2 linked regions of the Bombyx mori genome follow. The protein of the gene in region 1 purifies or fractionates together with the protein of each later gene. This does not show direct contact. Links are inferred from orthologs where the notes say so. Each region holds a gene or a part of one and is shown in the gene's direction. Other genes may lie near its edges.

Region 1 (4,619 bases):
AAAAATAGTAATCGACATGCCTATAGGTAACAAAAAACTAATATAACATTTCTTTTTTTTATCTGCCTATGCGTCGTGACACTAGTCAGGCACGTGTTTCTCATAATTTAAGTCATCGACCTACACATGTACGTCTTCAGAGATAGTTTTGTTTTTAGTAGATGGCTATATGAAGTTTTCAAAAGTATTTGCGTAAAATATAACACACAAGCTTCCATCCAAACATCTCAAATTATATATCCAACCGGCCGACTGACTTATGGACTTTAAAAAGCGCGCCAACTGCTCTCGGCACTGTTCGGAGTATCGTCAGCCAATCAAGAGTCCGACGTGCAACCGAACGAAGTCGTGAGAGAGAACGAAATAGACGCCCGTTTCTATATGGAATCGCCCGTGTTAGACAGAGACAGTGCAACATTCTATTTGCCTACATTTCATGGCTCCACTGCATGATATAACAAAATTGTGCATTTTTGCAAAAAACTCAAAAATATTGACTGAAACATGCATGAAACATGTTTTTGTGGTTTCGACATTGATTATACAAACGTTCAGGGTTCCAATACATTTTGCGATTTTTCGTCGATTTCTTAAAATTTAATCATATCTAATCGCTCATTTCGATTAAAAACGTAAATAAACGATATCTCCTGATGTTTTGTTGAATGAAATACTCACAAGTTCCTCATAGGACTGTGTGTGTTCGGTTCCCAGCCAGTCCAGTCGCCGCGGCAGCACCTACACACAAGTGCAACGTTACGGACTTTCAGTCAGTTTCAGCTGTTTGACAGCGCTATCCACGTGCGTTTACAATCAAAACAAACCTAAGCTCTGAACCCGGCGCTAGGAAAAGCTCTAACTTACCTCGATCGTCTCGAGCTCTTTCAGCAGTGTCTGTTGACAAAAATACTCATTTTAGTCTAAAAAATCGTAATAAAGTGTAATTTAGAATGATCGGTAGTGAATTTACCTTTGCAGTTTCCTTAAGTGGACCACCAGACAGAAATTTCGCTATCAGAAAGTAGAGTTCTGAAATCGGAAAAGCTATCGTTATTAGACCTTGTACGTTCGAGATCGACACATTCATGTGTTATTTTCTGGGCTTATAGCCTACCTGGAATTACGTTATACTCTTCGTTGGATTCCTCCATTCTCCTAGTTTTTATTCCAACATAGAGATCTACACTTATTCATCACATTCACTGAAAATTCTTCGAAAACATTTCACTTTACATTGTTGACGAACAGATAATGCAACCCTTGGAATAATAGCAAAATGGCGTATGTTTCGTCGGCAAAACAGCTTGCACCTAGTTAACCACTCCGCTCAAACAGCCAAGCCGGTTTTACAGGCTAATTCGGTAGATGACGCTATAGTTCATTTAAATTTCTAGAAAATAATAATTTTAATCTTTAAATTAAATATATGCCGTATGTATGTACTTAATATTATTCTTTTTTTTCTTATTTGTGTACAGAACTTTTAAGTCTTCATTTTTACGTAGAATAGTTGACGTTGCCGGCCTTGACCCTATCTGACTTATTTTATTTTAATCGCTCGCAACACCTACAAAAGTAATGTGAACTATTTATGTGCGGGCGTTCTGCTTATAAGTCTAAGTCGCGATATCACGATAAAAATAATGAGTTTTGATGTTACTAAATACTCAAAGACTCTTAAAATTGTTTCTAACGTTAAGTTCCATTAAGTCACAACTGTGCAATAAAGCTTCGTTAACTTGTGCTTCTGTGTTCGTTGAAAACAAGAGAAGAACAGTAACCATCGAGCGATGCATCTTCGGTGATTTTAATTAAACAACATCGTATTTATGTAAGTAAACGTTACCACATTAAATTAAATAGATCGAAACATAGAATCATAAGACAAATATATATTTTTTTTTTATTTTCATGTTAAAAGTCTAAAAATAAACTTGTCTTAATTGTTTATTGACCCATCGCCCTGTCATATCAGCCAGTGGACGCTAGTGAAGTGAAAGAACATATTTAGAATGAGCCTACAGAGTAAAATCATTTTATCGCTGCGTTCGTTCGTGTGGTTTTGTCACTCAATATATTTACCACCATTGTTTATTCAAAATACTTTATTGATAGCAAAATAACATAATGATTGTTTGAAAATCTGAAAATAACATAGTCAGAAAGTCAAGTACACACTGAAGTAGCATTCTGCCTTCACTATAGTCATTTATTACTAAACAAGTATTAATTTGCTGGTAAGCAGTGGGAACAGTAGTACGTAGGATCTGGGCTGAGTATAGGTCGTTGTCAGTGATTGTATCAAATTCTTGTTCTGAGTAACAGTCGAAATAGTACCTTCTACTGCCTGACTCAATCAAAAAGCCTTAGCTTTGTTTAAATATTTGACAGAACATCAATAAAATATAATTGTGTATTACAGAGGAATGTCGGGTGCCGCAGCCAGCAGTGCAGGCTCTGGCACGGCCACCACTCTCGGAGGACTTGGCGGCTCACTTGAGGATAAGGTTTGTACTGAGGCAGAAAAACATGGGGTCAAAGGCTATTTATAAAAGTTTTAGAGACTTTTTTGCAACATGGGAGTTCGATTCTAAATTGGTGAAATTGTTTTTTGTGACTTCGGCTAATTCGTTGTTGATCGATTTGTGGAACTTCTTAAAGAAACCTTCGTTTTCTTCAGTCATTTTTTATTTAATGAATACACATATGCAGTGTGTAATCGAAGGAAATTATAGGTTAGCCGGCATAAGAAACACGGTGTGCACGAGACACTGCTCCAATACTCTATTTGAATGGCAACAGAGGAGCCATTTAAAATGTGGAAAAAATATTATATCAAAAAACTTCTTCAGATATTTGAATGGGGTAAACTCATTGAAGTTCATTTAAAAATATGGAATTGTTGATATTAATACTAAATAAAGTAAACATTTAATTACAAAGATAAATGTCATGCATTATGCTAATGTCACACCAAATAACATTTCATATATTATAGCCCTCAATATATTACACCAGGTGAATCAAAAGTATTCCAGAAAACAAAGACAAGTATTATAAAAATAGAGATGCATTATTTTTTTCTTTTTCATATAAAATGTATAAATCATCCCAGAGCTACCATTTTATTGTAGATCCACTAGTGTGTAAAATTACAAACTAAATATTATCAAAATCTGTGTAGGCATTTTTGTGACTTTTTTCCATTACCTATTCGCTGGTAGCCTAAGGGGGGCTATTCCGGCTTAGCACAAAAAGTCATTAAGATAATGAATATAATTAAATGAAGGCTTTAATTACATTATTGGTAATTACATTATTGTTATTACTATAAAAGATTGATGCCGCAGCTAATATGAAACACATCTTTACTATTCAGAACTTATTTATTACTACCTTAATCTTATTACACCACATTACATTACGGTATATATTATCTATTTATTCTGTGTATATATTTTCTATAATAATGTATGACTAATAGTACACTGCAATATACCTGCTATATCTTTATGTTTTCCAGAATTTCTGTAAGTTAATCAGTTGTCTGGAAGAAATCGTTTTAGAGATAAGATCGCCTATTGTACAAATGCATCTGTTTGTTAACTGTTTTCTAATGTTTTTATTTTTTTATTGCCCTTGTAGGTAGAGCATACGGCCCACCTGATGGTGAGTGGTTACCGTCGCCCATGGACTTCAGCAATGCCAGGGGCAGAGCCAAGCCGCTGCCTACTGCAAATTTTAATTGTGTTTTGGTGTGCAATGAAGTATGTTCTCTGTCTCTCTTTCTCTACTCTTATAGAACTACCAACAGTGTTTCTTACTGGGCAGATGGTACTTCTCCAGAAAGTTTTTTTTCCTACCTAAGCTGGTAGCTTTAGAGGGCTATGCCACTGTGACAAAGCGACTAGGTGAGCTCATAGAGCTCTAACCTGAAGAGGAGTAGTCAGTAAGGAGCCTTTGAACTGACTTCGTTTCTGTCATGTGTGATCACAAGCGCGTGTAATCCTTTGTTGGTAATGAGACAGGCAGTTTCATGGGCAATTTATTCTTAGTCTAGCCTAGCTGTCCACCTAGTAGTGCTGACTTCCTAGAGCGTCAGGGTCCATTATCATCAAAAAGATTGAAGGCCATAAACACTATTTAGTGATGTACAGATTCTAATGCACCCAACCGTGGGTATATGTAATAAAATGTAATGTAAAAAGGAGTATCAGAAATGTATCTGCAAAAAATCATTATTATTACAAACTAGCAGACCCGGCAGATTTCGTAGTGCCTCAATCGATAAATAAAAGACCTAAACTTTTGTATAAAATAAACTTAAAACAAACAAAAGGAATCCGTCCGACGGAGGACACATCAAAGGAAAAACAAAATTGTTATTTTTATTTAATTCCGAACATTTTCATATTTATCTGCCTTTTAAACCTTCTCTGGTCTTCCACAAATAATTAAAGACCACAATTAGCCAAATCGGTCCAGCCGTTCTCGAGTTTTAGCGAGACTAACGAACAACAATTCATTTTTATATATATAGATTTTGATTTAGAATAGAGAGATTGCAAGTTTGAAGCTCAGCTGTGACCAACGTGACCAACAGGACTGTGAGCTCCTGT
Region 2 (4,379 bases), on another chromosome or scaffold:
GTTTGTTTTAAATTTATTTTATACAAAACTTTAGGTCTTTTATTTATCGATTGAGGCACTACGAAGTCTGCCGGGTCAGCTAGTACTCTTTAAAATACTCATAGAAGGTACTCATTAAAATCAACTGTGGGTAAATTTCTTTAAAATTAAATACTTATTACTCTGTTGCGGTTATTATTTTAGTGAAACTTTAACCGTTTCCACAGCGCACGTACTGGAAGCTCTCAAAAGGGAAAAAGCCCCGATTTTGAAACATTCTTCATTGGTGCTCTTATCTTAGGGTGATGTTATATAGCTTCCTCAATAAATGGGCTATCTAATACTGAAATAATTTTTCAAATCGGACCAATAGTTCAAATTTCAAGTTCAAGTTCAAACAAACAAACTCTTCAGCTTTATAATATTAAGTATAAATTTTTCATTTATAAAAGTTTTCATTAAAATTAAAATAAGACTTGACCTAAAGGTTTTAGTTACCAGGTCATGAAATCCCATAAAAAGCAGAGTATTTTTTTGTTTTTAAATTGTTACCTACTTTAGTGTATTAAAAAACTTTGGACGGATTTGCGTAACCAAAATATCACTGTTGAATTCACATGGACTCCAGCACATTGTGGAGTGGTGGGCAATGAAAAAGTTGATAATTTTGCAAAATCAATAAATAACTTGGGTGGCCAGATTAAAAATATTTCAATTCCATGGCAAGACCTAGTTCCTGATATTCGTCAACAAATTAATAAAGATTGGCTCGAAAACAGACAGCATATAAATGAAACCAAAGGTAAATGGTATGCTGAAATAAATAATGAAATCGGTATTAAACTCTGGTTCGCTAGGAGCAAATATTTCTGTAAAAGGAAGTTCTACACACAGATTTGTAGACTGAGATTTGGTCATTGCAAATTTAACGCTCACCTTTACCGAATGAAAATAACTTCATCACCAAATTGTAATAAATGCTCCCTAAATGAAGAACAAACTTTACAACATATTTTTTTCACATGTCCAGCTTTTAATATTCATCGCATCCTATTTATTGATAATACTGCAAGAGGTTTATAAGGATAGCATCCCGCCTTCTCTTCAAGAATTGCTTAAGTGCACTGCAAGTTTTAGAGCAGTATATGAATACATTAACTCTACTTTCGGAGACTTATAATGGAGAACACAAATTTTGACTTTATAGTCAGATTTTCCAAGAAACACGATTGCGACAACTCTCAACCGAAACAAATTGGTTTTTTTTTTATCTGAATAGACATTTACACGGATTTGAAAAATATTTATAAATGAAAAATACTAAAGAATTGGCTTTTTTGCCTTGAAACATAAAATTATATATGAAAATATTAAACTTAAGAATTGGCTGTATGGCTTAGTCCCATTGCCTTTCTCTTCGAGAAAAACCTTACTACTACTACTCATATTGATACAAACTCTCAAATATAATAAGTGTATAATCTATGGATACAAAGGTACATAAATAACGAAAGGACTTTTTGGCGGGAACGCGAGGAGTGAAGTTGTGTGATTTGTTTTATTTTGTCTATTTAGTGTTTCTTCGGGTTTAAATGTGTAATAATGGTGGTTTATTAACCGTTTAATATCTGTGAAAGTGCACAAATGTGGGAAAATGAAACAAAGCCGCTGGACGTAACTTCTCGGGATCCTCCAAAAAGTCCACTGAAAAATCTTAGTAAATTACCACCATTTTACTGAGATTAGATTTCATCTCATATCATCTCATTTAATTTCATCCTAGTTGATTAATGTCTCAAATTAATCATTTTCATTTCATTTCACTCCATAACATCATTTTTCATAAAATTAAGAATATAGATTAAAATAAGACATGACTTAAAGGTCTCAGTTACCAGGTCATAAAATCTCTTAAAAAAAAAAAAAAAAAATAACGAAAGTACTTTTAGAAATTAAATCGTGCCTTTGCAATGGCTTCTGGGAGTAGTTCGAAATTTATTTATTATGAGGACCCTCCACCCGGAGCAATCGACGAAAAGGAATTCTTTTGCACAGAAAAAATTGTACCTCGAAAAATAAAACCTCAAAATATCGTCATAAGATTAATGGAAAGAGAAATACACGGGTCACGGAAACCTGGATCGCATTTTCACGTTGTTCGTGAATTTTATCAGAATGTTTTTCCAAATTTAACTATCGTAAACGTTGAGAAACCTCCGTGCTTTTTGAGGAAGTTTAGTCCAGATGGTAAACATTTCATAGCATTCTCAGCTGATCAAACTTCTCTGGAGGTATGTTAATGTATGATGTTGACGTTTTATGATTTAAGTGTGTAATAAAAACAAACATTAACTTTGAGTAAATGCTGTTGGTTGTTTTTTTCTGTTTAATTTTGCAAATAGTAGATTTGTATTTCAGATCTATGAATACAGAGGTGCTTCTAGTGCAGGAGACTTAGTGGCTGGTTATCCAACTGACTTGCTTAATGCAGATGCTGATGCTCATCACAGAATTAGAACACATATATTTTATAGATTCTTTAAGGTATGATATATTGTGTCATGTTTTATTAATTTGTTTAGGTGTTCATATATTATTAATTATATAGGCTTACTTTCTCAATCTCTCTTTTAAAACAATACATCTGTATTGAAGAATACATCCATCTCAAGATAATTTATTTATATTGTAGTCTTAATCTCTAACAGTGGCTGTCAGTTTCGACATATATCCCTCTATCAGCCAGATATAGATACATAGTTACCCACAATTTTCTTACTGAACTGTACCAAGGAGACATGCAAGAAAGAGACAACCCTTATTGATTGCAATAATGTGATTTGATGGAATGATAAGAAAATGTCTATCTAAATAATAAAATTATCTTTATAGCCTAAGTTTACAGTGAATGTTTGTCAACAAAGAGATATCAGATCTGATCGTCTTGGTAACATGCCTGTGATGGAGCAACAACTCAACAGAGAATGCAGCTTGTTTACTGAAGATGGTAGATATGTAATAGTGGGATCTGCAGCACATATTCCAGATGACTTGAGACCACATTTTTATCACATTCACAGTAACAATGAAGCTGTCACGCCTACAATAAGGTATTTTTTAATCTGTAATATTATTTAGAGTCCGATACTTAATTTTCATACTCCCGCAGCATCATAGCACAGCTATTATTAGTTTTTTAAATTAAAAATATAGTAAGTGCAACATATCATAAAGGTTTTAATAAATTTGTCATGGCAAATTGAAGTAAGCTTAATTCATTATTGTAAGCAAAAAAAAAAGAACAATGTATAAGTTGTGCTGAAATCATAAATGTTGATTTCTTCCCCTAGGCCAAAACCGGTGGAATACAGGTGGTGAAAAATATATACCCAAAAATTTGGGATCATGATGTAAGAATTCATACATCAATACAATGTACATACATTTATATACATTAAATAATTGTTAGCAGGCAGTGTCTTGGCTATGGCATTGCAAGCCTTGAGGGAATTTAACTGCTTTCCAATAGGTCTTGCGTATGGTTTCAAAGGCAATTAAAATAATTTTGTAATCACAAATCTGAAAGATTTCTTCCAATTATTTATCGTTTTTTAATTTTATATTGCTTCGATGTGTGGACGTGCTCACAGTTCACCTGGAACCAGAGTCCATAGACATCAGAAACGTAAATGTCGCGACCCATCTTGAATTTTAATTCAGTTTTAAAATACAATGGCTGCCTCACCCTTATACCGAAACATATTACTGCTTCACGGCAGAAATAGGCAGGGTGGTGGTACTTACGTGGTGCGTGCTCACAAGACGCCTTACCACAAATAACTACGTAAATTTAAACTTTTGAGCATTTGACTTTTATTCGGAAATCATTCGTGAACATGCATTGCATGCATATTTCATATGAAAATTATTGGGATTCGAACACCGGTGTGCTTAGTGCGAGTTTTTTAACTTCTCGATCGCGTAAAAGTTAATTTATGGAGTTGGAACGCCCCTACGTTTGCCGCTACAGTACAGTCGCACCGCTCGATATGAATACACCTGACTTTAGGCAACGACGAGCTATTTTTTCCCAAACTTTTCTCTGGTAGCCTAAGAAGCTATTCCGGCTTCACGAATTCAGGACGGCAACTTCAATATGTGGAATATGCATTGAAATATAATTGTTTAGGTACCTAGTTTATATGTATGTGCACAGTTTCAAATTCATTTAAAAGCTTTGCCCAACAACATGAAGCTTTCGTTAACAAAGTGAGTTAACCGCCTGGTACGGCAGAGTTGTCTTATCTTAGAAGTTCTAAGTTAGAACTCTACCCAGCGGTAGCTTAGGTCGTAGATATCGCGCCACCACCGTCAAGCCAATGTTCGTATAGTGTTTTTAA

What was found.
Region 2: the proteins of E3 ubiquitin-protein ligase COP1 (region 1) and DET1 homolog purify together in Homo sapiens (affinity purification with western blotting; 11 studies listed by BioGRID and IntAct, counting the BioPlex papers as one, with this or other methods). This does not show direct contact. The link is inferred for Bombyx mori from reciprocal best matches to the Homo sapiens genes COP1 and DET1.

Annotation. Positions count from the first base shown.
Region 1 is NC_085130.1:9,512,060-9,516,678, reverse strand, and holds the start of E3 ubiquitin-protein ligase COP1, read left to right. Parts: upstream 1-1,689; 5' UTR 1,690-1,831; intron 1,832-2,422; 5' UTR 2,423-2,426; coding exon 2,427-2,507; intron 2,508-4,603; coding exon 4,604-4,619. Other genes in the region: PH-interacting protein, read right to left, coding at 679-738, 865-894, 971-1,029, 1,115-1,151. UniProt on the Homo sapiens protein: E3 ubiquitin-protein ligase that mediates ubiquitination and subsequent proteasomal degradation of target proteins.
Region 2 is NC_085127.1:9,203,401-9,207,779, reverse strand, and holds the start of DET1 homolog, read left to right. Parts: upstream 1-1,481; 5' UTR 1,482-1,949; coding exon 1,950-2,270; intron 2,271-2,397; coding exon 2,398-2,523; intron 2,524-2,871; coding exon 2,872-3,089; intron 3,090-4,379. UniProt on the Homo sapiens protein: Component of the E3 ubiquitin ligase DCX DET1-COP1 complex, which is required for ubiquitination and subsequent degradation of target proteins. The complex is involved in JUN ubiquitination and degradation.